Linked DNA regions of Mus musculus. The protein of the gene in region 1 purifies or fractionates together with the protein of each later gene. This does not show direct contact. Links are inferred from orthologs where the notes say so. Each region holds a gene or a part of one and is shown in the gene's direction. Other genes may lie near its edges. The genes, in order: Fbl, Larp7, Sirt7, Nop58, Rrp9, Snu13 and Tgs1.

Evidence for each region.
Region 2: the proteins of Fbl (region 1) and Larp7 purify together in Homo sapiens (affinity purification with mass spectrometry; 3 studies listed by BioGRID and IntAct, counting the BioPlex papers as one, with this or other methods). This does not show direct contact. The link is inferred for Mus musculus from reciprocal best matches to the Homo sapiens genes FBL and LARP7.
Region 3: the proteins of Fbl (region 1) and Sirt7 purify together in Homo sapiens (affinity purification with mass spectrometry; 3 studies listed by BioGRID, with this or other methods). This does not show direct contact. The link is inferred for Mus musculus from reciprocal best matches to the Homo sapiens genes FBL and SIRT7.
Region 4: the proteins of Fbl (region 1) and Nop58 purify together in Homo sapiens (affinity purification with mass spectrometry; 7 studies listed by BioGRID and IntAct, counting the BioPlex papers as one, with this or other methods). This does not show direct contact. The link is inferred for Mus musculus from reciprocal best matches to the Homo sapiens genes FBL and NOP58.
Region 5: the proteins of Fbl (region 1) and Rrp9 purify together in Homo sapiens (affinity purification with mass spectrometry; 3 studies listed by BioGRID and IntAct, counting the BioPlex papers as one, with this or other methods). This does not show direct contact. The link is inferred for Mus musculus from reciprocal best matches to the Homo sapiens genes FBL and RRP9.
Region 6: the proteins of Fbl (region 1) and Snu13 purify together in Homo sapiens (affinity purification with mass spectrometry; 5 studies listed by BioGRID and IntAct, with this or other methods). This does not show direct contact. The link is inferred for Mus musculus from reciprocal best matches to the Homo sapiens genes FBL and SNU13.
Region 7: the proteins of Fbl (region 1) and Tgs1 purify together in Homo sapiens (affinity purification with mass spectrometry; 3 studies listed by BioGRID and IntAct, counting the BioPlex papers as one, with this or other methods). This does not show direct contact. The link is inferred for Mus musculus from reciprocal best matches to the Homo sapiens genes FBL and TGS1.

What each region holds. Positions count from the first base shown.
Region 1 is NC_000073.6:28,172,748-28,176,247, forward strand, and holds part of Fbl (rRNA 2'-O-methyltransferase fibrillarin), read left to right. Parts: intron 1-1,756; coding exon 1,757-1,939; intron 1,940-2,037; coding exon 2,038-2,145; intron 2,146-2,236; coding exon 2,237-2,331; intron 2,332-3,107; coding exon 3,108-3,278; intron 3,279-3,500.
Region 2 is NC_000069.6:127,550,550-127,554,618, reverse strand, and holds the start of Larp7 (la-related protein 7), read left to right. Parts: upstream 1-1,269; 5' UTR 1,270-1,436; intron 1,437-4,069. UniProt on the Homo sapiens protein: RNA-binding protein that specifically binds distinct small nuclear RNA (snRNAs) and regulates their processing and function.
Region 3 is NC_000077.6:120,617,871-120,622,014, reverse strand, and holds the end of Sirt7 (NAD-dependent protein deacetylase sirtuin-7), read left to right. Parts: coding exon 1-34; intron 35-959; coding exon 960-1,058; intron 1,059-1,131; coding exon 1,132-1,368; intron 1,369-1,510; coding exon 1,511-1,591; intron 1,592-1,745; coding exon 1,746-1,852; intron 1,853-2,246; exon of another isoform or gene 2,247-2,724; coding exon of another isoform or gene 2,725-2,866; intron 2,867-2,965; coding exon 2,966-3,167; 3' UTR 3,168-3,644; downstream 3,645-4,144. UniProt on the Homo sapiens protein: NAD-dependent protein-lysine deacylase that can act both as a deacetylase or deacylase (desuccinylase, depropionylase, deglutarylase and dedecanoylase), depending on the context. Specifically mediates deacetylation of histone H3 at 'Lys-18' (H3K18Ac).
Region 4 is NC_000067.6:59,695,006-59,698,505, forward strand, and holds part of Nop58 (nucleolar protein 58), read left to right. Parts: intron 1-972; coding exon 973-1,094; intron 1,095-3,317; coding exon 3,318-3,454; intron 3,455-3,500. UniProt on the Homo sapiens protein: Required for the biogenesis of box C/D snoRNAs such as U3, U8 and U14 snoRNAs. Part of the small subunit (SSU) processome, first precursor of the small eukaryotic ribosomal subunit.
Region 5 is NC_000075.6:106,483,112-106,485,915, forward strand, and holds the end of Rrp9 (U3 small nucleolar RNA-interacting protein 2), read left to right. Parts: intron 1-7; coding exon 8-100; intron 101-445; coding exon 446-546; intron 547-635; coding exon 636-770; intron 771-854; coding exon 855-917; intron 918-1,099; coding exon 1,100-1,245; intron 1,246-1,328; coding exon 1,329-1,408; intron 1,409-1,965; coding exon 1,966-2,039; intron 2,040-2,140; coding exon 2,141-2,234; 3' UTR 2,235-2,304; downstream 2,305-2,804. UniProt on the Homo sapiens protein: Component of a nucleolar small nuclear ribonucleoprotein particle (snoRNP) thought to participate in the processing and modification of pre-ribosomal RNA (pre-rRNA).
Region 6 is NC_000081.6:82,044,799-82,048,833, reverse strand, and holds the start of Snu13 (NHP2-like protein 1), read left to right. Parts: upstream 1-1,235; 5' UTR 1,236-1,344; coding exon 1,345-1,347; intron 1,348-4,035.
Region 7 is NC_000070.6:3,591,879-3,595,378, forward strand, and holds part of Tgs1 (trimethylguanosine synthase), read left to right. Parts: intron 1-1,581; coding exon 1,582-1,759; intron 1,760-3,478; coding exon 3,479-3,500. UniProt on the Homo sapiens protein: Catalyzes the 2 serial methylation steps for the conversion of the 7-monomethylguanosine (m(7)G) caps of snRNAs and snoRNAs to a 2,2,7-trimethylguanosine (m(2,2,7)G) cap structure.

The sequences.
Region 1 (3,500 bases):
GGATAGGTAGTGAGACCTGGACTCTGAACACAGCTAAAGGAGGCTGAAAGTGAAGAGCACTGGCTGCTCTTTCAGAGGACCCGGCTTCAATTCCCGCATAGCAGCTCACAACTGTCTGTAACTCCTGCCCCAGGGGATCTGACACCCACATACAGATAAATGTGCAGGCAAAACACTAATGTTCACAAAGTTTTTAAAAGGTGGCAATAAAGGGTTTGTTTGTTTTTTGAGACAGGGTTTCTCTTTGTAGCTCTGGATGTCCTGGAACTTACTCTGTAGACCAGTCTGGCCTTGAACTCAAACATTCGCCTGCCTCTCCCTCCCAAGTGCTGGGATTAAAGGCATGTGCCACCATGGCTGGCCTGGCAATAAACGTTTTAAAAACAAAACAAAACAAAAAAATGTTTGATGCTGTCGATGGGGTATAGTTACAGGACTGAGACAAAAATTTGAGCAGGTTTTTACCTGACAGTTTACATCCAGTGAGATCATTTTGAACCACCCCTAATCTTCAAGCTGTGTTATCAGATAAACTTTTAAATAAATATAAATATATATATACACACACACATACATACATACACACTGTAGCTGTCTTCAGATGCACCAGAAGAGGGCATCACCATTACAGATGGTTGTGAGCCACCATGCGGCATGCTGGAATTGAACTCAGGACCTCTGGAAGAGCAGTTAGTGCTCTTAACCACTGAGCCACCTCTCCAGCCCTCAGGAAAACTCTTGTGTCCCACCTCCAATAATACCAAAAAGTTTTTGGGAACCATCATGAAAAAGCTAAGGTAACAGCATTGGGTCCAGTCCCACTCACTGCTCTGTGGACAGTGCTTGCTTTCCTGTAGCTGGGGGTAAGGGGCAAGCCCTTGAGCACTCTTCTACTGAGCTGCACCCCCAGCCCCACCATTCTTTTTTTGAAGCAAGGTCTCATCATGAGCCCCACTGGGGTCTCCTGCCTCCACCTTGTAGAGTACCGGAGTCCCAGGCATGGTCTGCTACACCTGGGGTTAAGGCCAAGCTGACGTACTGGTGTGCTCTAGCCTGCCCATCTAGACTAGTGCCCATCCTTAAGAGGACAGTTTGGGGGTTTCCTTAATTTCCCCCCTGTGCGGGGAGGAGTATTGCAGTCTTGAGCAGAGCTCAAGCATCAGACTCGGGGGCACTTTTATCCAGAGGTCTGGAAGATGCTGTGAGGGCATATGCGTGTGCGGGGCTCACTAACACAAGGGATAAAATGAGTTGTGTGGCGCTGTCCCAAGAAAACTAGAATATCTGCATTCTACCTCACCCCTAATTAAAAGCTCTGTGGCGTGTTCTGCCTTCAGCGGCCCTGCGCTGATGTACCTCATAAGGCTGTAGTGCTGGGCCTGTAAACACAGTACTTGGCGAGTGCGGCAGGAGAACCGGGATCCATGTGGTGACTTCATTGCCAGCTTAGGGTACTTGATACCATTTTTCAAGAAAACTCTGGTTGGGTTTAGTTTTCTGGGATTCGTTTCTTCACTTCTGGGAGGTTCCCGTTTATCCGTCTGTGTTGTAGAACTGAGGGTCACTTCCATTGTTGATTGCTGCGCCTCCTTTATGTGTCCATTCTGTGGTGGACATCGGGTGGGTTCTGGGTGTGGAGGACATTTCCCTGAGCACAGAGCCTGTGCCTTGCTGATTTCTCACATTTGTGGACCTGACAGGTAAGGGTCCTTCTTAAGCTCCTTTGCCCTGATCCCCATTTCCATTTCTGCTACAGGTTTCAGCCCCCGTGGGGGTGGCTTTGGTGGCAGAGGCGGCTTTGGTGACAGAGGCGGTAGAGGAGGTGGAAGAGGAGGCCGAGGAGGCTTTGGCGGTGGACGAGGAGGCTTTGGCGGTGGAGGTCGAGGTCGAGGCGGAGGGGGTGGTGGCTTCAGGGGACGAGGAGGTGGCGGTGGCCGAGGTAAGTGAGGTTGACATGGGGGTTGGAGCAGGTTCTCGAAGGATGAAGGGAGGGAAGATGTGGGGGCCTCCCTCTCCTACTGCAGCTCTCTCTTACAGGTGGGGGCTTCCAGTCTGGGGGCAACCGGGGTCGAGGTGGTGGCCGGGGAGGCAAGAGAGGAAACCAGTCAGGGAAGAATGTGATGGTGGAGCCGCATCGTCATGAAGGTGAGTGAGGCAGGCAGGGAATTGGCTGAAGCCAGAGGTGGGCCATGGCTGCACTGTCCCCAGCCACACTCTGCTCTCCTCCCTTCACCAGGTGTCTTTATCTGTCGCGGAAAGGAGGATGCCCTTGTCACAAAGAATCTGGTCCCTGGAGAGTCTGTGTATGGAGAGAAGAGAGTCTCTATTTCAGTGAGTCCAAGTCCCAACTGATAGCGTTGCCAGTCTTCTTGCTGTTATGGATGTCTTGATGTATAAGTCAGGCTGTAGCCTCAGAGCTGTCCCAGTTCCCAGCTCCATACTAAACTGTCCTTGTAACCTGCCTCTGGTCAGGTACTGCCTGTTCCTTCTGATGAGGCTCTGTGACATCGCCCACTTGTCTAAGCGGTCCTCACTGCCACAGCCCTACCTCTCCCATGTCCTTGTCTCTGTGGCCAGACGTCAGCCTCCTTACTCACCTCCCACACTGTGCCTTGAGTGTTCTTCCCAGGGTGGTGTGGGTGGCTCCCTCTCCACCTCCATATCTGGTTCAAACGTGTCCACCACCCTCCTGGTCCGTGTTCTCTTTTTCACATTCTCCTTGCCCTGTTCTGGTTTCATGTCCTCTCTCCTTGTGTGGTCTCTATAGCCTGTCACCATCTCCTGTGTCGGTTTGTACTTAGTTCAGTGAGTACTTCTCTCTCAGGGCAGGATATGTGTCCCGTTCACTGTTGTTCCAGCACTTGTGTGTGCCTAGTGCCCAGTTCCATCTTTCACTTCTGTATTTACTTTCTGTTGTTCCCTCCCCAAGTCAGCAGCCTTCATGAGAGAGCAGGGCAGCTTCAGTCCTGGTCTCTGCTATACATCTGCATTTGGTTCTTACTTAGTGATTTGACTGCACAGTTTCTTTTGAGGGTCCTAGGGTTACCAGGAATGGTGTCCTGCACAAGAACCCAGCACTGATTCTGTCCCCATCTCTCTTGGCTCAGGAAGGAGATGACAAAATTGAGTACAGAGCCTGGAACCCCTTCCGCTCCAAGCTGGCAGCAGCTATCCTGGGCGGCGTAGACCAGATCCACATCAAGCCAGGAGCCAAGGTGCTCTACCTTGGGGCAGCCTCAGGCACCACCGTCTCCCACGTCTCTGATATTGTCGGCCCGGTGAGTGGACAAGTGGTGGAAATGAGGGAGCTGGGCCTGGCCATTTCCCTGCACTGTGTGATGTCGATGGAGCCAGACTCATCCCTCATTCTGTGGCAGGGACAGCTTGAAGCAGAGCTTTTCTTTCAATACCACTCCTGGGTTCCTGATTTTCGTTGTGAGCCAGAGAGTGTAGTCAGTGTTAAAGTAACCCAGAGGTAGGAATGTAAATACCAAACAGTT
Region 2 (4,069 bases), on another chromosome or scaffold:
GTTGCCTGTCTACCTATAGGGCTCCAGGACAGTCAGGACTAACTACATAGATAGACACTGTCTAAAAGGAAGAAATAAAAATGATAATTTAAAAATCTGTATGCTCAGTACTAACAACTTTTTTCTATTTCCCATCTATAACTGGCTGAATACAGATCCAGAAATTACAGGTACAGAGGGTTGACTATATACCCTAGTCAATATAGCACAACATCCTAGAGCCAAATATACAATATATAATTCCTCTGCAAGGAAAATTTTGTTCTTTCTTTTACCCAGTGCTAGGGGCTGACAAAAGGGACTATATGTAAACTAGGTAATAGTGCTTACATGCATCCAGTCCTTTATGTTTGTTTAAAATAGGATCTGACCATATTGCACAATCCCGTCCTAGCCTCTGGAAATAGCTGGGATATTACAAGCAATATGCCACCACACCCAGGAAGAAAAATCTCTTGGACAGTGCTGCAGCAGCCACTGTAACTACCATGTTAACTATAAGGTCAAATTTTGAAATCTTGAAATCGTCGATGGTGAACTGAATACAGATGCAAAAGCAGCACACATAAGCACACATATCTTCAAGTGGTTCCAGGGACATGACCTGACAATTAGTTAGCAATGAACATTTTAGGTCCTATTCTTTTAGGTCCTATTCTTGATCTATTACGTTAGGAAGTCCAGCTCTGGAGCCCAACAACAGTTTCTATCTGGCCCTCTGCAGTGATGAAAAACTGTCACAATAGCTCAGAACAGCACCGCTCAAACCAGGAAAGTTTCCAAACCACGAACGGCCTGCTAAACCACAAGGAACAGTACAGATCCCTAAAAGAAACATAGCTTCACTTGCCAAGCCTTGACACTTCAAGGTTTTGTATCACTAAATAATAATGGCCCCCTTGGTCCTATGTCAGCCCCTAAAACACCCACAACCGGGATGGGCCGCTATGGTGACCGCCTCACCCGGCACTCTAACGGCGCCTCGTGGGTCGCTTCCGTGGAGGCGAGTCAGTGTCCAGTGCTCTCCCAACCGCGCCAAGTCGCCCGGTCTGTCCACCCTTCTTGCCTAGAACACGGGAGAGAAAAGTCTCCACTTCACCGGCTCAATGACATAAACTCCACTTTCTAATTTCTCCCGCCAACTTAAGTGACGTCATCAAGCAGGGACGGTACCGCGGAGGCCCCGCCCGCCGCCGTTCGCAAACCACCAATGGAACTCCGCGTGCCAGCGCAGTCACCGCGTGGCTCCCGCCCCCGAGATGCTCCGCCTATGACGTCAGCAACGAACCCTGGGCCTCGGACCCGTCTTTCCGTAGCGGGCTGAGAGAAGCGCGTCGCTACTCGAATGACGCAAATTTCCGCCGACCGCAGGGGTCGGGAGAAGGAAAGCGTGGGAGAACACAAGCGCTGACCGTGGATCTGGGGACGAGCACGGAGTAAGTCACTACTGGCCTGCAGAGCCTCTCAGACCCGTAGAGGTGGGAACTCCTCTCAGTCGGGTCTCCTGAGGGCCACCCTCCATCCGCGGTCCGCCTCACCCCGCCCCCGTCGCCACTGTGCCGTTGGTTTGGCGCCGTGCGTTGTGCGCACGCGCAGTTCCCTGGCGGCCCCTGCTATTCGGAGCTCAGTACAGAGGGGGCGGGCCGAGCTTGGGGTTGGGGTGTTTGGGGCACGCCCGGCTGCGGGGGGGGGGGGGGGGGGGAGTCTGTGCGGAAGTAGGGTTGCTCAGAGGAACTGTGGGTGTTAGGCAGGTTGTCTTCCCAAAGGACATCAGTTGTGAGAACTTGCATTCTAAAGTTCAGTCTTTTCTTTTTGCTAGTCCCTCTATAGAAAAAGCCGTTGTAGAAGGGGCTAACAGTAATGAATTTAAGTTCTGAGTGCGTTTATGAGAAATTAAGGAGAAATATGAGTGGAGAGTTCATTGAGAATGGAAATCCTCAAGAAGTAAGACTGCCTTTTAGTAGTCTTTCGAAGCCGGGCGGTGGTGGGAAACCGAATGACTTCATAAAACATTCACACTAAAAGATTATTTGGAGCAAAGTTCCAGACCGCTAAAGGGTTTGCCGTGACTACAACTTTGGTTCTCAATCTTTTGGGTACTCTTCTTTTTGTTTAAAGCCTGGAAAATATTATTGTCGAGTTCCTTTGAAAATTTTACATGTACCTGTGGAAACATTTTGTATGTGATTTTACAAACAAAACCTTTGATTTAAAATTTAAAAAAAAAAAAATGGTCTTTTGCTTTACATCTAGCACAGCTTACTTCCAGATTATCTGTGACATTCACTGTCTTTGGGCAGTGTTGCAACTTTGTAACTTGTTGAAAACATAAAGATGAAAACCATGTTTGCCCAATCATTGCCCCTGACCAGTATATGTTAACATTCATTTTGACTTTATGCTGCATATTGATCTGGTCTTTTCTCCTTTAAACAGACTAGTTCCACTTAAATTTACCATATTCCTTTATATTTGTATAAGCATGATTTTACCTTTTGTTTAAAAGTTTGTCTTATAACATCTCATGGATTCCTAAGATGTCTTTAAACTCCCAGAAGTGTCAGGGAGGTCAGATGAAGAATTCCTGGGACAGCCCAGGCAGTGGTGACGCACACCTTTAATCCCAGCATTTGGGAGTTGGCAAAGGCAGGTGGATTTCTGAGTTCGAGACCAGCCCGATCTACAGAGTAAATTCCAGAACAGCCAGGCTATACAGAGAAACCCTGTCTTGAAACCACCACCCACCACCCCCCAAAAAAGAAATTCCTGGGTCAGAATATAGTGTGAATGCTGACAGAGTGTAGCTTCTACTAAACGGTAGACAGTGTAAGAGTCAAACACCTCGGTTTGCTTACCTACCTAGTTTTGACTGAATTACATAACCTTTCAGCCTCCCTTTGAAAAGGGGAAAGAAACGACCAAGTAGGATTGTCAAGATTTAAAACTATCTATCTATATAAATATCTGGCATTGCTTCACAGTAATTTCTTTGTTCCAAGACTGTGAGTTTTGTGGGTGGATGTTGTTTGTTTGTTTGTTTGTTTGATTGTTTGGAGGCAGGATTTTTTATGTAGCTCTGGCTGTCCAGAAATTCTGCAGAGCAGGCCAGCCTCAAACTCAGAGATCCACCTGCCTCTACCTCCCAAGTACTGGTATTAAAGTTGTGTATCACCACATTCATTTAGCAGTATATTTATGACACTACAAAAAAAAAGAAAAAAGAAAAACTTATCAGAATCACTAATGTTTCAAGTTTAGAAATAACCTTCACAGACTAGAAAGATAGCTCAGCCATGAAAAGCTAGGCTCACTCCCAAAAATATAAAATATAACCATCATAAACCATATGAGTATTATGGACAGGTGACACAAACTTCTGTAAAGGATAGGTGACTTCTAGTGCAATTATAAACTCATATTCTAATAGCAGATGGAGAAAACATTAAATGGGGGTAAGAGCCATTTCAAAGATGAAATTGATAGGATTTAGTGAAAGATTGGTAAAAATAACATGGCATCATGTTTTCCATGGCAGCTTTTCCCCCTTTGGGTTTTGGTTTTGTTTTGTTTTTTTTTGTTTGTTTGTTTGTTTTGTTTTTTGGGGTTTTTTTTTTGTTTTTTTGGGGGGGGGGGTAGGGGCAAGACAGGGTTTCTCTGTATAGCCCTGGCTATCCTGGAACTCAGTTTGTAGACCAGGCTGGCCTCGAACTCAGAAATCCACCTGCCTCTGCTTCCTGAGTGCTGGGATTAAAGGCATGCTCCACCACACCTGGCTGGTTTTTGTTTTTAAGATTTATTTTGTTTATGAGTACAGTGTAGCTGTCTTCAGACATACCAGAAGAGGGCATCAGATCCCATTACAGATGGTTGTGAGCCAGCATGCAGTTGCTGGGAATTGAACTCAGGACCTGTGGAAGAGCAGTCAGTGCTCTTAACTGATGAGCCATCTCTCCAGCCTGCGAGTCTTTTTTTAAACTTATGTAATATACATGTGTATGTATGAATGTATGTGTGTATACCGGAATATACGTGTGTGTGTGTGTGTGTGTGTGTGTGTGTGTGTGTGTGT
Region 3 (4,144 bases), on another chromosome or scaffold:
CATGAGCATCACCCGTTTGCATGAGCAAAAGCTGGTAAGAAAGCCGGCCATGGTGGCGCACACCTTCACTCCCAGTGCCTGGGAGGCAGAGGCAGGGGGAGTCTCTGGGTTCATGGACAGCCTGGTCAAGAGTGAGTTCCAGGACAGCCATGGCTGCACAGAGAAATTCTGTCTTGGAAAAACAAAACAAAAGAACAAACAAAAACAAAAAGCTGGAAAGAACCCAGAGCTATACCTCAGTGCCCAGGTGGGAAGCCATCCTGCCTCCTAGTCAGCCCTGTGATAGATAAATAGTCTAGTAGCTCGGACATCTGTGTGCTCCCTGCTCTGCTTTCTCTTCAAGAAGAGTAGCTGTAGCCGGGCGTGGTGGCGCACGCCTTTAATCCCAGCACTCGGGAGGCAGAGGCAGGCGGATTTCTGAGATCGAGGCTAGCCTGGTCTACAAAGTGAGTTCCAGGGCAGCCAAGACTACACAGAGAAACCCTGTCTCGGAAAAAAAAAAAAAAAAGGAAGAATAGCTGTGGTATTCAGGTTCCATTCAGGGCCTTTAGACGACAGCCTAGCTTCAGAGGAGACTCAACAGAAACTTCCAGAGATCCGCTGAGCAAGCGGGGAAGCAGATATGCCTGGGATTTGGGGGAAGGGACATGAAAGATGATGGATGACCCAAGAAGTTATCGATCCAAGGTGTGTGTAGTCCTGCCCACCCTATGTGACCAGTGCCCCAAACTGCTGCTCAGCTTGCAGGACCAGGACAGATGCTTGCCCTCCTAGCTGCTCCCAGTACATTAGAGTTAGTAGAAGAGAAAGAACATGGCGCCTTTCTACCTCAGGGCTTTCCTGAGTTGCCTCCTTGTTTTAGGAACCTTGTCCCTTGTCTCTGGGCTTAGAATAACTCCACTGCCGCAGGGTGCTTCCTCCTGCCACCTTACTTACTGCCACCACGTTCTGTCTTCCAGGTGCAACACGTGGTGTCTCAGAACTGTGATGGGCTCCACCTGCGGAGTGGGTTGCCCCGGACCGCCATCTCAGAGCTCCATGGGAATATGTATATTGAAGTGAGCAGTACCGAGGGGGACCCGGGGCCTGGGTGACAGGCAGATCTCACTCACTGTGCCCTCTCTGTCCCAGGTCTGCACCTCCTGCATCCCTAACAGAGAGTATGTACGAGTGTTTGATGTGACTGAGCGTACTGCCCTTCACCGACACCTGACAGGCCGGACCTGCCACAAGTGCGGGACCCAGCTTCGGGATACCATTGTGCACTTTGGGGAGAGGGGGACATTAGGGCAGCCTCTGAACTGGGAGGCAGCGACCGAGGCTGCTAGCAAAGCAGACACAATCCTGTGTTTAGGGTCCAGCTTGAAGGTATGTGCCGACCATACCATGAACTCGTTGTGGATTGAGCATGTTGCTGGCTTGCCTCCCCAGAGCCATCAGCCGTGAGCGGGTGGTAGGTTTGCGTCTTACTCATCCTCCTCTACTCTGTTGTGTCTGCCCGCTGGAACAGGTACTAAAGAAATATCCCCGCCTCTGGTGCATGACGAAGCCTCCAAGCCGTCGACCCAAACTCTACATCGTGAACCTGCAGGTAACAGCGGGTGCTTAGAGCTTCCTCCTCAGACCCGGGGCTCAGATGGGAAGAGCCGGGGAGATCCTGAAAGTCTTGTACAGGTTCCATTGTGTTCCTGGGGAGTGGTGAGCCAGTCTGCCGGGAGGCCCTCATCTGCCTTCCTTGTCTTTAGTGGACCCCGAAGGATGACTGGGCTGCCCTGAAACTCCATGGGAAGTGTGATGATGTCATGCAACTCCTCATGAATGAACTGGGCCTGGAGATTCCTGTCTACAACCGGTGAGTGGGCGCAGCGTGCCCCCTGCATTCCTGCCCCGTCCCTCCCCTCCGTGTGATGGGCCGTGTCTGTCTGCTGTGGGCCTCAGAGGGACTGGCTGAGGCAAGGCTCCACCACACGTGCACACTCTTCCCCCCTGACTGGTACGGTGCCCAGAATCTCTGAGGGGGATCTGCCAGTGTGCTCTACAGGATGCTCCCACAGATGGTGTGCAGCCTGGGTGGACAGCCGAGAGGGGTGAGAACTGCAGCTCTGGTCAGACACAATCTCTGTCCTTGGTGTGGGGATATTTGGGGAAAACTGAAGCAAATTGCCTTGATACAGAATTGTGATAATTTAGACTTGGTGTGTATATTGAGTGAAAAGTTTACACTTTCTTTCTCTGTGAATTTTCAGGGTCTTATAGGGGAAATCAATAACTTCTTTTAATCAAAGGGTTCAAGAAATTAAGGATCCCTTCACCTCTGGGCCTGGCAATTCTTGTATGTTATGTTTGTGGTGTTCTGTGACGTGGGCCTCTCCTGTGCCACATTGTTGATGTTGTTATTGGTTGTTGTTGTTGTTTTTTTTTTTTTTAACATTAACTTAGCTCATTTTTTAATCAGTGCTTACTTTTATCTTACGTTTATAATATGTGGTTCTACATTTCAATCAGACACATGATTTCTTCATGGTGTAGTCTGTAGGCCACACCTCCCCAGTCAACCGGCCTCTTCCCGCCCCCATCCCTGTCACGCAGTCTGGGAAAGGGAAAAGGGTCTGGTCCATCTGCCCCTATCCATACAAGTGAGAGACGGGGCCCAGAGTTGCTAGCAAGTTATCCTTGGAGGTGAGGCCATCCTGTGGCTAGCACTACCCCTTCCTATGTGTGCAGCTCCCACCAACAGTGGGTGAGACAGAAGAGGCTGTCGAGCGAGGGCTGCTGCTGCCCTGAAGACTTTCCCCTGCAGCTTGGTGTCCCCTGCAGCTTGGTGTCACTGACGCTGCTTCCAGCCAAAGCCCAGATTAAGACATAGGTGGGATGGCAGGTGGCCTCAGACAGCTTTCCTGTGCCTGGGAGGGTTGCGATTCGAGGGGTTTTCAGACCTGCCTGATGCTGCTTTTCTTTCTGTTAGGTGGCAGGATCCAATCTTCTCCTTGGCGACCCCCCTCCGTGCTGGTGAAGAAGGCAGCCACAGTAGGAAGTCACTATGCAGAAGCAGAGAAGAAGCCCCACCTGGGGACCAGAGTGACCCCCTTGCCTCAGCTCCCCCTATCCTAGGAGGCTGGTTTGGCAGGGGTTGTGCCAAGCGTGCAAAAAGGAAGAAAGTGGCATAGCCCGGAGTTGACAAAGAACAGTTGGCACTTTGCAGATGGCTTGACCCTTGTTCAGGGGCTCCGCCCGTGTCGCCGTGAAGGCGAGAGTGCCCCCTCCGGCTCTAGTGGGTGCCGGCTTCGCGGTGACGGTCGTCTTTAGCCATTTGTCCTTGTGGAAAGGCTCTCTTGCACTGCTGTGACTGCCCCGCTATGGGCTTGATCTTCAAGGACACCTCCCTCCTGTTCACCCCTGTACAAAGGTGGCAGCAAGGCCTCTGTGAGAAGAGCTCCGGCCCTTCCCAGGCCTGGCCAGCAGGAGAGTCCACCACTGCCTTACCTCACTCTCCAGGCTAGTCTCAGGGCCTCCCTCTTTCTACTCCTTATCACGTACAAGTGTTCACTTTATAGAAGCCTTTTTCTGTATTGGGTATGCGGCACAGGGAGAATCTAACTAAGCCTCCAGTCTGAGCAAGTCTTATTAAACATCTCTCAATTGCTTTGGTGTCCCGATGACTGTCACACGCACCACCGAGGTGCCTGCATCTGAGGGCCTGCATCGAGGCGCTTTTGAAGAACCCAGCCCCTGAAAATGCTTTTGGTTGGTTGGTTTTTTTGAAACAGGGTTTCCGTGTGTAGCCCTGGCTGTCCTGGAACTCATGAGATCCTCCTGCCTCTGCCTCCCAAGTGCTGGGATTAAAGGGGTCGCCACCACTGCCCGGCTCCTAAGAATGCTTAAGGCACGGGGTGAGCTGCACGCACAGTTGTGGTGCTAACCTGCCCCGTTCGTCTGTGGAGAAGTCAAATGCCAAAGCCCGGGCACCTGCAACACAGACCATTGGCCGCTCGATCTGGGCGGAGGGGGGTGTGGCCCGGCTGGGGGCGGGGCCCTGGTTGGCGCACGCCATTGGCTGCGCCAAGCGGGTGAGATCCGCGTGAGCACGCGCAAGCGTCGAGGGCGGGGCGACGGTACTGTGTGTCGCGGGAGCCGCCAGGATTTG
Region 4 (3,500 bases), on another chromosome or scaffold:
AGAGCTTTGTGTGTGTGTGTGTGTAGTACTAAGGATTAGGCCCAAGGTCTTTCACATGCTAAACAGACACTTTATCCCCAGCCCAAAGAAAAGAATAAAGAAAGTCTCTTTACAAAAAGGTAGATATTAGGAATCAGTGTATACAGTATTAGAAGGCAGAAGAAAATAGCCAGGGTTCTATAAAACCCTTTCATAAATGCCAGGAATGATGATGCACATGTTTATCCCAGCACTTGGAAAGCTAAAGGCAGGCTCACAAATTTGATGCCAGCTGAGGCTATAGACTGCCCTATAAAAAGAAGCTGAATCTTTTTATTTATTTATTTATTTATTTATTTATTTATTCTATGTAAGTACACTGTAGCTGTCTTCAGACACTCCAGAAGAGGGCGTCAGGTCTTGTTAGAGATGGTTGTGAGCCACCATGTGGTTGCTGGGATTTGAACTCCGGACCTTTGGAAGAGCAGTCGGGTGCTCTTACCCACTGAGCCATCTCACCAGCCCAAGAAGCTGAATCTTAACAAACTTATTTATTTCAGAGTAGGATCTCACTTTGTATACCCAGCTGGCTTTAACTCAGGTTGCCCTGCTTTTTCATGCCTCCCAAGTGCTGGGATAAACATTGTGCATCATCATGCCTGGCATTTATGAGGTTGGGGGGGGTTGGTTTTGTTTTTTGTTTGTTTCTTTGATTTTGTTTTTCGAGACAGGGTTTCTCTGTGTAATCCTGGCTGTTCTGGAACTCACTCTGTAGACCAGGCTGGCCTGAAACTGCCTCTGCCTCCCAAGTGCTGGGATTAAAGGTGTGCGCCACCATGCCTAGCCATGAGTTGGTTTTTTATAAAACATTTACACAAATAATTTTTATTTTTTTAAAAATATACCTTTTAAAAGAAATATTTTCTTTCCTTTAAAGTTTACATCAGAAGCGTTCTCAGTTGTAACTCTAAAATTTTCTGTTTTTCTGTAAAGCATTCACAGCTCTGATGGAAGGCAAAATCAATAAACAGCTGAAGAAAGTTTTGAAGAAAATAGTAAAAGAAGCCCATGAACCTCTGGCTGTCGCTGATGCTAAACTAGGAGGGGTAATAAAGGTAAAGTTGGGCTGAGGCTGAGGCTGTGGCTGTGGCTTAAAGGGCAAGGCATGATTCTTCCAGGCCTTTTAGAGCTGCTAAGCCTGCTCTTTGTAGTATTTGTCATGTGTTCTCATAGTTGATGTTTTCCTGTTAGGCAGCATAATCTCAACTAGAAATTGCAAAAACACGTTTTCCCTGTACACTGTAGAAAATAAAGATGGACAAAAATGATAATATAAGCTCTAAGCCAGCCACTCATGCCGTCTGTTCACATTTGTGATGATCCTCATAGAATTTAAACTTTTTTCTGTTGAGTAAAGAAGTGAGTTGATTGGAAGCTTTAGTAGCAGGCATAAAGTACAGAGGGGACTTAAATGGTCTGTGGTGGTGCATGCCTAGAGTTACTTGCTTGTGATATTATAAAATATTGGCCTATATGAGGGAATTAACAAATATATGCGACAGGGAAAGTGTTATGATTGAAACAGTTTTGTTTTTTAAAACAAATTTTTTTCTCCAACATGGAATTTGTGTGCCACAAAATCCAGGGTCAAAAAGATACTTGTTATCTGTGTTTATACTATTCATTAATACTCTTTGGGAGGGTTATTTGAGGGATGCACTTATCCATAGGGAAAAGATAGAAACTTTTTGCTGTTACTTTTGGTTAAAATCCGGTGAGTATATGAGTACCTTGTAATTTTTTTTAAAGATTTACTTAATTATTTTTAAGATTTATTTATCTTATTTATAAATACACTGTGGCTGTCTTCAAACAGACCAGAACAGGGCATCGGATCCCATTACAGATGGTTGTGAGCCACTGTGTGGTTGCTGGGAATTGAACTCAGGACCTCTGGAATAGCAGTCAGCACTCTTAACTGAGCCATCTCTCCAGCCCAATACTTTGTAATTTTAAAGCTAAACAAATGGCTGGAGTGATGATGGGTGAGTGGTTAAAAGTGCTTAGTACACTTAATACACCGGGCTTCAGATCCCATTACCAGCATTACACAGGTCATTACTACCCATCACTCAGTTACAGGGGATTTGATACTGTCTGGCCTTTAAAGGCACCTGCACTTAACTAGTGCACAAAAACTCCCTTTGGCTGGGGCTAGAGAGATGGCTCAGTGGCTAAGCGCACTAAACTACATGGTAGCTCAACAACCATCTGTAATGCAATCTGATGCCCTCTTCTGGGGTGACTGAAGATAACGACAGTGTACTCATATATATAAAATAAATCTTTTCTTTAAAAAAAAATCACATAGGTACATGTGCAGATTTTAAAAGTCTGGAAATCAAATAAAATAGCAGTAGTCCACTTAGTCCAACAAGCAAGAAAAAAACTTCCTCAGATTTAATAATGCTTTGCATCTTGGGATGCAGCCTAGCCAAAAGGGTAATTGGAAGGTTTCTCTATTTAATTTCCATCAACTTCTTAACAAACATACTAGAAGCAAACACTATGTACAGTTGAGAAAAGTATATATATTATACCCGAGATCAATATTGTTTTAAAATACCAGATTCCAATGAGATAGATCATGCTTATCTGTTCTATCCCGGCCTGTGGCTTACAAGGACCAGGTACACCAGGGAGGCAAGCTGGGGCTGAAAGAGACTTAGACTGCGAGAGGTTAATGGAGCCGAGACATGTTTCAGTTCAAGGCCCTCCGTTTCCTAAGAGAGTGTGCTTATAAAAGGGGAAGGCCCATCCCCTCCAGTCCATTCTTGGTGTCTGGAGCCAGCCTATAGGTGATGCGCAGAATAGAATGTTCCTCTGGAATGTATCAGGTGCTTCTCAGCAGGTAGCAGTGTCTTGGAGAGAGCAGTGGCAGCTGGCAGAACAAAAGAAGCCATCTAGGTCGGAAGGCTCCACCTTAGGTAATTTCCTTCTCACTGGCAGCAAGGTCAAAGTCTGGAGCAGCCTGCTTCAGGGCTGAGGGAGGCTCCACTTATCATTTCCGGAGACTGAGGCAGATTGTTCCTGTGAGTTTAAGTTGAACCTGTGAATTCACATTAGTGAATTCTTTTTGGTTTTTCAAGACGGGGTTTGACCAGGCTGGACTCAAACTCAGAAATCCGCCTGCCTCTGCCTCCCAAGTGCTGGGATCAAAGGTGTGTGCCACCTCTGCCTGGCTACATTGGTGAATTCTTAAAAGACAATATCTGAAAACCCACAACGGTGAATTTTCAAGAAAACTTATTTTTCATTTAATGTGAATGTTTTTATAGGAAAAATTGAATCTCAGCTGTATCCATAGTCCTGTTGTTAATGAACTTATGAGAGGAATCCGATCACAAATGGATGGCTTGATTCCTGGGGTAGAACCACGTGAGATGGCAGCCATGTGTCTTGGATTGGCCCACAGGTAAGTACAGAAGTTAAATGTATGCTTACTCATATACATACACATA
Region 5 (2,804 bases), on another chromosome or scaffold:
CCCACAGGCCTCTGGCGACCGCAGCAAGCTCATTCTCATTTGGGAGGCCCAGAGCTGCCAGCACCTGTACACCTTCACGGGACACCGGGACGCTGTGTCGGTGAGGCTCTGGGTATTGACCACCTGCCTAGCATGGAAGCCTGCTGGGTGTGCCCTCCTGGGGCCAGGCGCCAGGCCCCAGGCTCATCTACAGAGGCCTGTGGGTAGTGAGTGGTGTGTGTGTAAAGGCCGCGAGTGCGTTGAAGAGATGGGGAGCGATGGAGGGAGACCAGGTTCAGCTGGAACCACAGAGGGCCTGAGGGGTATGTAGCTGTTTGAGGACAGGCAAGCATGTTCCTGGCTCTGGGGGAACAGGTTCCTGGGTCATGTGACTCACTTTCAGGAGAGCCCCTCTGGGTCTACCCTCCGTAGTCCATACCCTTTGACCCCTCTCTGTTCTCTCCAGGGACTAGCCTTCCGAAAAGGTACCCACCAGCTCTACAGCACTTCCCACGACCGCTCTGTGAAGGTGTGGAATGCAGCCGAGAACTCCTACGTGGAGACGCTGTGAGTGTGCCCAGGCAGATAGCACAGGCCCGCGTGTCAGCGAGAGGTCACATGTGACCCTCCCTCCCTGCTTTGCTCTTCCCCTCCAGGTTCGGGCACCAGGATGCTGTGGCTGCATTGGATGCCCTGAGCCGAGAGTGCTGTGTGACAGCTGGGGGCCGGGATGGGACCGTGCGTGTGTGGAAGATCCCCGAGGAGTCCCAGCTTGTCTTCTATGGCCACCAGTAAGGCGGTTTGCTGGGCTGTGGTGGGGCTCTGTGGGCTGGCGAGGGGGCTGGACGTTGCCCCCTCACAGCCTCTCTTTCTAGGGGTTCCATTGACTGTATCCATCTCATCAACGAGGAGCACATGGTGTCGGGCGCAGATGATGGGTAAGAGTCCCTTTCTGATATGTCCGACTGCTGCCGCCACCAGTGCTTCCTGCCTGCCAGGCCCTGGACTTAGCTCATTTTGGATCAGTGGCCACATCCCTCAGCTGGTCTATGTGATTGGTCCTCCCTGCTGTATGCCTTTGTCTGGCTCTGGCCCCTCAGACTATCTTTTTCACCCACAGCTCTGTGGCCTTGTGGGGCCTCTCCAAGAAACGGCCACTCGCCCTCCAGCGCGAAGCTCATGGGCTTCACGGGGAGCCAGGCCTGGAGCAACCCTTCTGGGTGTCATCCGTAGCCGCCCTGCTCAATACAGACCTGGTGGCCACAGGTGGGTGGGTGCTCGGTGAGGTGGGGAGGGGGACTGTGGGTGAGCTGGTATGGGGCTTGCTTACTGACTCTCTGACCTCCAAGGCTCCCATAATGCCCGTGTGCGACTTTGGCAGTGTGGAGAGGGCTTCCGGCAGCTTGACCCTCTCTGTGACATCCCCCTGGTAAGTGGTCCTAAATGCATAACCCTGTCTTTGCAAGACTCTGGAGGCCCATGGAATGAGCAATTTCTGCTTTTCTCACCCAGAGACGTCTATTCAGGGCAAGGCCACTTACTGTCACAGAGCCTGTCCCACTTTTCTCCTCTGTTCCCCAACCCCTACTCCCTCCACCCTGTCCTGGCTCTGTGTACAAGCTGAGTGTGAGTGGGTAGAGGGTGGAGGCCTGCACTGGGCTTGGTTCTCTGTAGTGGGTATTGACTTGAGAACCAGGCTGGGCTGTGTGGAGTTGACTGTCCACACTGGAGTGACCTGTGGGGTTATGTTATGATATGTCACACACTCCAGTGCCTGAGGCAGCTCTTGGCACACTTGATGGGCACTGTCTCCTCAGTCCTTACCATCTCCCTGCTTGGCTGCGGCTCCACTCCTACAGTTTCAGAGAGGAGGCTGGGGCTCATGGGAAAGGGTTGGCACACCTAACCAGTGCACCAGGCCCCTGCCTGCTGTTGGGAGCCGTGGTGACGAATGTTCTGATGTCTTACCATGTCCCTCTCTCTCAGGTTGGTTTTATCAACAGCCTCAAGTTCTCCAGTGCTGGGGACTTCTTGGTGGCAGGCGTGGGACAGGAGCACAGGTATGTGATGGGGGTGGGGCCGAGGGCAAGGTAGCACTGGCCGGTTGGGAGTAGGAGAGGGGTGGCGTGCGTCTGCCTCAGTGGTCATTCATTCTCTGCAGGCTTGGCCGGTGGTGGAGGATCAAAGAGGCCCGGAACTCAGTCTGCATCATCCCACTCCGCAGGCTCCCTGTGTCCCCTGTTGCCGGCTCCTGACACTCTCCCTTATTTAAGTGACTTCCAGGCCCCGCCCCTGTCCTCTTTTGTATTAAAGCCTCCTATTTTAGACCTTGTTCTCCCTTGTTCCTCTGGTTTCTGGGAGGGTGAGGGGAGGGGGTAGGTGTGTGGCAAGGACCAGGAGGTGGCAGAGACCTGGGAGGGACAGGACTCTAGCTAGCTGCTCTCAGCTGAAGGCTTTTGTTTTCAGAGCACTGGGTGGGAACCTCAGCCGGCTCTTGCATGACCTCATTAGACAGCTGCTCACCCATCAGCCAAGAAACTACAGCTCTCCATTCCTTGGGAAGGCTCAAGCCGGGGTCTGAGGACCAATGGAAGCTAGTGGAGCCTACAGTTCAGGCTGACCACATTTCCCTACTGTCCCAGCCCAGGAAGCTGGAAGGGATACCCTGCCCCGCGGTGGGACAAGGTCAGAATCGGGGAAGAGAGTTTCAGTCTGACAGAGCTAGCTAGCAAGGACCCTGCTGGGAAGATGTGTCAAAGGAATACTGCCTGCTTTTACAGATTGGGAATTCTCTCCTGTTGTGGGGTGCAGCAGTGGATGAGGGG
Region 6 (4,035 bases), on another chromosome or scaffold:
TTGCCATGTGGGTGTTGGGAATTGAACCCATATCCTATAGAAGAGCAGCCAGTGTGCTGAACCAGGGAGGCATCTCGCCAGTCTCTAGAAATGTTCCCTCCTGTTGGCAGTTTGAATCCATGTGGTTGCCTGACCCCCAATGCTAAAAATCTCAAGGTCCGGTTTTAGCTTTGCCACTGTTTGATTCCTGACAGTGGGCAGGCTTCCCTTCTTTACACTTTGTTCTCATCTGTAAAAATGAGGAACTATTTTGTAAGGCTCTTAAAGGTCCTCCCAGTTCTCAGCTCTACAGTTGTGACACAATGAGCTGAAATTGGCTCTAATGGTGGGGTCTGGGCTAGATCCAAATAGCCCCAAGATGTGTTTGGCATCATGTTGGAAAAGACTGAGAAGCCACGAGGATCACGGAAGAGCTCATGGGAGGGAGCGCTAGACTTGAGTTTATCCTTTCATAACGAAGTTTTGGTGCATCACTAAGAAAGGGGCAAGATGCTCAGAAGAAGGAAGCAGGTGTCCTACATAATTACTCCAAACACAACCTCCCTGTCATTCACTAACTAGCCCCCTAGTCCAATGGCTCTTGACCTACCCATTGCTGCAGCTCTTTAATACAGTTCATGTTGTGGTGACCCCCAACCATAAAATTACTTTCGTTGCTACTTCATAACTGTAATCTTGCTACTGTTATGAATCGTGTCTTCCGATGGTCTTCGGCGGCCCCTGGGAAAGGGTCTTTTGACACACACTCCCCAAGAGACTCACAACCACTGCATTATTCCAGCTAATTGTAGAAATCAACCTCCGCCTGAGAGGATGGTTTTGAAAAGGGTACACTATGTACTCAGAAAAAAAAAAAAAAAAAAAAAAAAAAAAAAAGCCTGGCGTGGTGGCGCATGCCTTTAATCCCTGCACTTGGGAGGCAGAGGCAGGTGGATTTCTGAGTTCGAGGGCAGCCTGGTCTACAAAGCGAGTTCCAGGACAGCCAGGGCTGCACAGAGAAACCCTGTCTCGAAAAAAAAAAAAAAGCCTGGTTATGAAATGGCAACCCTCACAACCCGTTGTACTAGTGTGCCACTTCCCGAGTGGTTTATTCACAATCTTTTGCCGATCCTAACTAGAACGCTAATAAAATCTGAAAAAACGCATCTCCCACATCCAAAGATGACTTCAGCACTCTCTTCTTCCGGGAAGGGGGCGGGACGCCGTCATTGCGCGCGCTCTGTGGCGTCACTTCCGCTTCCTGCCGCTTCTGAAGTGATTTCCGCTCCTTTTTCCTGCGCGGCGTTTCAGTCCCTCTTGAGTTGGGCTGTCGTCGAGTCGCGGCGAGACCGGCGCACCGCAGCCATGGTGAGTGAGCGCGGCGGGCCGCAAGCACGGGGAGCGCGGGCCGCGGGCCCTGTTCGCTGCGTCTTGGGGGAGGTGGAGCGCGTGCGACATGTCGCCCGCCCCGAGATGGCCGACCTCCAGGCCCGGGGCTGGAACTCCGGCGGCCCGCGAGGTCGTTCCTGGGGCGGCGGAGTGGAGATCCCGGGCAGCTGAGGTCCCAGGTCGCTGCGGCCCGGTGGGCTTTGCAGCCGTGGGCGTGCCCAGAGGCCGCGGCGAGGGGACAGGCATGGCGCAGCGTGGGAAAATGAGCGCCCCACGTGGGATGGTGAACGCGTGTGGAAGCCCGTCTGTTCTCCTTCTCGTTTTCTTTCTCTTTTCTTTTTAAACACTGGGGGATGAGGTGAAATCCCGGGATGCGAGGCACTCACTACCCACGTCTTCTCCACTCCCGGGGTTGAGGAAGGGGATCGCCGTGGGGTCCGCAGCCAGGGTCTGTCGGGAACTAAGACTTAGGGAATTCGGGGGCGCTTTTTGGTTTAGTTTGTTTTTAGGGGCTCATGGAGCCCTGGTTGGCCTTGGAACTCTGTAAACTAAGCTGGCCTTGAGCTCTCAAGAGATCTGCCTCACCAGTGCTGGGATTAAAGGCGCGTACCATCGCGCCCTCCGGACTAGGTAACCACCACCACCCCACCCTCGCCTCCTTTTTTAAATTTGGGGTCACATGGAATGTGAAGGAAGCTCAGGAAAGGCTCCCACCATGAGAGCGACCGACGCCTTCAGAAATCCGTGGTCCTGGTAGCCCCACGTGGGATGATAGCGTTTGAGCGTCTCCACTTTGTGATGGTGTACAGGGCTCCGTTTGGCTGAGCCCTTTCAGGCCTGGTGCGATTTCATCCAGCCCTTGGGTGGTCGGCTTTGTTTTCGTGCTCCCACCCCTGAGGTTTAGCAACTACTGACCGAGTCTAGAGTTTGAGAGAGAGAGAGTGGCTGAGCCAGTGTTGAACCAGGGAAGAGTTTTGAAGTGCGGTGCTCTTGGTGAACTCTGCAGCAGTTTGTCTAGGCTGGGAAGTGGGGACAACGGGTCGCTTGTAGCAGGCGGAGTACAAACATGCATCGCTTAAGGACGGGCGAGTTCTGGCTTTGGACATGAGATCTCCCTGCCTTGGCCGGCCTCCAGAATGCTGGGCTTACAGGTGTGTGCCACTACACCAAGGCTGGTCAGTCATCATTCTTGGATCCTCCTGATTAGACCAGGAGGCTGCTGCCATAGCAGATGTACTGCTTGCAGTAACGTTTCTCTAATACACAAAACCAGGAAATATAGACTAGTAACAGAGCAGTAACATCAAACACTACATAATTCGATGTACCACCGATTACAACTATCCTACAGTTGATGAGTTTACAACATTAATAAGGTGTTTAGCTAGAACTTAAGGCTGCTAGTATCACTGGCTTCTTTTCAGCTCTGTTGGAATTTTAGGTTAAACATGCCCTTGTTGACAGAGTCATTTTTAGGCACTATTTGTCAAATCAAAAATCTTGTATGTTTCACTGTCAGGTAGATGCGGGGACCAAATTGATTAAGCCTAGGGATTTAAGTTTGCTAGCCTGGGCTTTTTAGCCAGCCTTGTCTCCAAAAGGTCATTGCTTGTTTAGCATGATCAAGGCCTTGAATTCAATTTCTGACATCCCAGAAAAAAATTTACAAAACTAATCCAGTAGTCTGTTGAATTGCTTCCCCACCCCCAGACAGGATTTCTTTGTGTAGCCCTGGCTGTCCTGGAACTCTGTAGACCAGGCTGGCCTCAAACTCAGAAATCCACCTGCCTCTGCCTCCGGAGTGCTGGGATTAAAGGCGTTCGTCACCACTGCCCAGCTTGAATTGCTTTTTAACATTTGAGACCTTAGAGGTAAAGCTAGGCGTGCATTTGCAGGTCAGATTACTTGAAAGTAATTATTTGATCGAGCACAGGAATTCAGAGCCAGCCCAGGCAACCTAGCAAATTTCTGTAGAGGAAAAAAGAATAGAGAAGTAAGTCAATTCAAACCAGTAGAGGGAGAAAATAGTGAAAACCAGTGATAAAGCCAAAGAAATGGAATAAGTAAGGCTTAGAAGACACCATGAAAATTTGAACCCAGTACATTAATACATAAATAAAAATAGAATTTAAATGTTCCATTCTGGGTGCCATAAAGGGCTTTTGTTTCCAGTATAATTCAGTAGTTTTCTTTTTTATTTATTTATTTATTTATTTATTTATTTATTATATGTAAGTACACTGTAGCTGTCCTCAGACACTCCAGAAGAGGGAGTCAGATCTCTTTACGGATGGTTGTGAGCCACCATGTGGTTGCTGGGATTTGAACTCCTGACCTTCTGAAGAGCAGTCGGGTGCTCTTACCCACTGAGCCATCTCACCAGCCCCAGTAGTTTTCTTTTACCGTATTTTGAGACAGGTTCATTGTGTTCCTGCCTGGCCTCACACTTGCATAGATCCTCCTCCCCAGTGCTAGGACTACACTGGTGTACACTGGTGTACCATCCCACCCCACCAGTGTTTGTCTGTGCAGTTGCACGCCATTATTTCATTCATTTTTTGAAACAAATGTTAAATTCAGTAGCTAATAATAATAGGGAAACTTTTCTTACAATCTAATCTCACTGAGTCAAAACATACACACCCTTTGTTTGCTTTTTAGATTTTT
Region 7 (3,500 bases), on another chromosome or scaffold:
CGTCCCATTTGTTCTTTCCTCCTCTTTGATGGGGTAGCCAGCACATTTTATGGAGATACAGAAATAACAAAAATCATTTAACCATTTGCCTTTTAAATGGCCTTTGGATTTTTTTCTGTATTTTGCTGTTATATGTAAAGCTGCTGTGAACATTTGTCTGTAGAAACCTAAGTATTCTCTGGGATTGAATGCCCAAAGGTTAAAAAGAAATATGAATGAGTAGATATTTATGTAAGAGTAACTTACATCTCAGGACAGGAAGACTGAACTGAGTGGATAAAACAGCCTCAGTGTGTGCTATTTAGGTCAGTTAATCCCATTCTTTGAGGTTTTATGTTTCTAAGGGTTCAGACTTAATGTCTTAGTGACCGTATCTTAGGAAATTTAAATAAGCTGTGTATCATGAATTTAGTAGGAAAAGAAAGTGAGAAATGCCTCATGATTAATGTGTAAATTGACTCCAAACTAATTCAAAAGTACATGCTTATAATCCTATAATGGCTTCAAGTCACCTGCCTGAGGGCTTGAAGTCAGGAGTAGTTTGTATAGTCACTTTAAACTAAAAAGGATAGAATTTAATAGTATATATAAAGCCTGTTCACATTATTAGAAGCACTGATTTTATGTAAACTGTTATTTGGCTCTTGGTAGTATACACTCATGGAGATATTTCATTGTTTAGAATTTAACTTAGGGTAACATGAGTCAAAGAGGACATTTGGGAGGAGCCTGGAAACTTTCTGGCAGATAGAAACTCAGTTAGATCAGATTTACTCTATAGGCATTCAGTAACCATTCTTAGCATTAATTTGATGGGCTGATGTGTGTAAGGCTTTGTCATCACGCTGAGAAAAATTACCCCAACAAGGAAGTATGCTTTTGTTTAGTTTTTGCTAGCCCTCTTTATGGCAGTCTGCTACATAATTTCTACTTTCTAATCTACATTAGCAATGTATTTTTGTTGTGATGCCACACTTGGAATGCTAGCATTCAAGAATCTGAGACAGGAGAATGAAGAATTTCAGGCAAACCTGGGCTATATGGTATAAATCTATCTCAAACAGGAAAAAGTAACCTTGTTAGACTTATCATCGGTGTTTCACATTTGGTTTTGGGGTTTTTTTAGGGGCCAGGGAGGTGGTGGTGTTTGGGGTTTTTTGGCTTTTACGGGAGGAGTATTTGGGGTTTGGGGTTTTTTGCTTATTTGGTTTGTTTTGTTTGGGTTTTTTTGTTTGTTTGTTTATTTTTTATTTTATTTTTTTGAGATAGGGTTTCCTTGTATAGCTCTAGCTGTCCTAGAATTCTCTCTGTAGACCAGGCTGTCCACAGACTCAGATTTGCCTTCACATTTGCTTTTAAATTGTCATAAAGACTAAACCATAACCTTTTCTGCAGGTAGCATGTGATTTTATCATTTTCAAAATTTATTAGGATTAAGTGATAGCAATAACTAACAAGTAGTAGTAAAAAGTTATTTGAGGATTTGGGGGGAGGGATGTTAGTTTGGGAGTTTTTTGATATTTTTTTCCCCTATACGAGAAATTTTTTAACAGGTGAATCATCTCTTTTGGTCTGATTTAGATATGGTGGAATTCCAAATTTCAGCCATCGACAGGTCAGGTATCTAGAGAAGAATGTGAAATACAAATCAAAGTACCTGGATCTGCGCAAGCAGATGCCTGTGAAGAGCAAGCACATCCTGTTCACCGAGGACTCAGGGAAACCTTTTGTCGTGTGTAAGAGTAAAGTACGGAGTAAGGTGTGTAAGTACAGAGTAAGGTGTGCAAGAGTTTAAAGTACGGAGTAAGGTGTGTAAGTACGGAGTAAGGTGTGTAAGAGTAAAGTACAGAGTAGGTAAAGTAAGGAGTAAGGCCTTCAGTTGAGACACAATTATGGTTTATAGCTTGGCTCTTTAAAGTTGTGTTCAAATGAAAAGTTCCACCCTGCAAGATTGAAGGATACAGCAAATAAATTACCACTAGCTTTACAAAGTTATATATTATGAAAACTGGATTTGAGGAATAGGGAAAGAAGTTGAGGTAATATGAAAAAAAGGGGTGTTTGAAAACTAAAATGTTTGGGCATCTAAGAAGATAAGTCAGTTAGATTGATTTGCCCGTGTAGTACATAGAAGGACAGGGGCAATTTTCTTACCTGTTTTACACAAAGTAGGATCCCAGTACAGATTCTGCTGTGGTTTTAACTGGAAGCCTGGATTCTGAGCTCATCCAAAGACTGATCATACTTTGAAGTAATAGGCTTGACCCAGAATGTAAAATACAAGCCTACTTTATAGAGTCACACTGTAACCTGATCCCTCTTAGTCTTTGCTATAAGGAAATAGAAAATAAGTGAATTAGAACATCATGTGATTGGGTGAGTTATCCTTCTACTGGGGATGGGGCATTTCTGATGATCAGAGCCTTCTTATCGTTGGTGTTGCCACCAGCTCCCTTAAAGGCAGGAGGCACAATCTCCGGCGTCTGACTTTATTGTATCTTCACTTGCTTCTGACTGCAGCATTCTAGCAAAGCATGCTACAAATTAGTAGTTTATTTTTCAGTGTGTGTGTGTGTGTGTGTGTGTGTGTGTGTGTGTGTGTGTGTGTTTCAGTGTTTCAGACTGGTCAAGGCTAGTTATAGTTTAATGACTATTTTAGTGACCTTTTTTATATCTGAAGTAGACTGCCTAGTGTCAGTCTCTCAAGACTTTGGAATGTTTTCAGAGTAATAATTTCCATACGTTTCACCTACAAAGGAATATAGAAACATCTGTATATAGTGGCCGCTATGACCTTAGTTCTCTTGGGTACAGATAGGTGGCACTTTCTCCTCAGTGTGAGGTTTTATCATTTCTCTGCCTTTCTCTGAAAGTTATTCTCAAGATCATAAAGATCTGACAGAGAAGATTCATTGTACAGCAAGTGCAAAGAAGTAACTCATCCAAACTTGGGCTGCTATTATATCTTAGCATCTAAAGACTTAGATCTACCAGCTCTGCTATTCTTACTTATTCTTTCTGAGAGAGCTCTAATTTGGGTTGTGTTTTGTTTTTAGATTTACTTATGTGTTTGTTGTGTATGTGTGTATGCCTGATACCTGTGTAGTCTACAAGACATCAGATCTCCTGGGACAGAACAGTTGTGAGGTGCCATGTAAGTGCTGGGTACAGAACCCAGGTTCTGTCTGCTGAGCTGTCTCTGCAGCTCTCATGTATCTTTCCTGCACCTTCTGATTTTATTTTAAAGACAATTGGCATTCTGTTGATGCCATGTAACTTCTTTTAAAAGAATTCTTAATAAGATCATAGGTTGCTCCCCTAAATTCCAGATAGCCCATAATTGTAGCTTGTTTGATACATTGTACTTCATGCTAATAATTTTGATAGCTTGTTAATCAAGTCACAAATGGTAAAAGGTGAGAAAATTCTATTTTCTTTATAGTTAATTTGTGTTTGTTATGGTATCTTAAAATTTCAGGTAGAAAAATTCCTAAAATGGG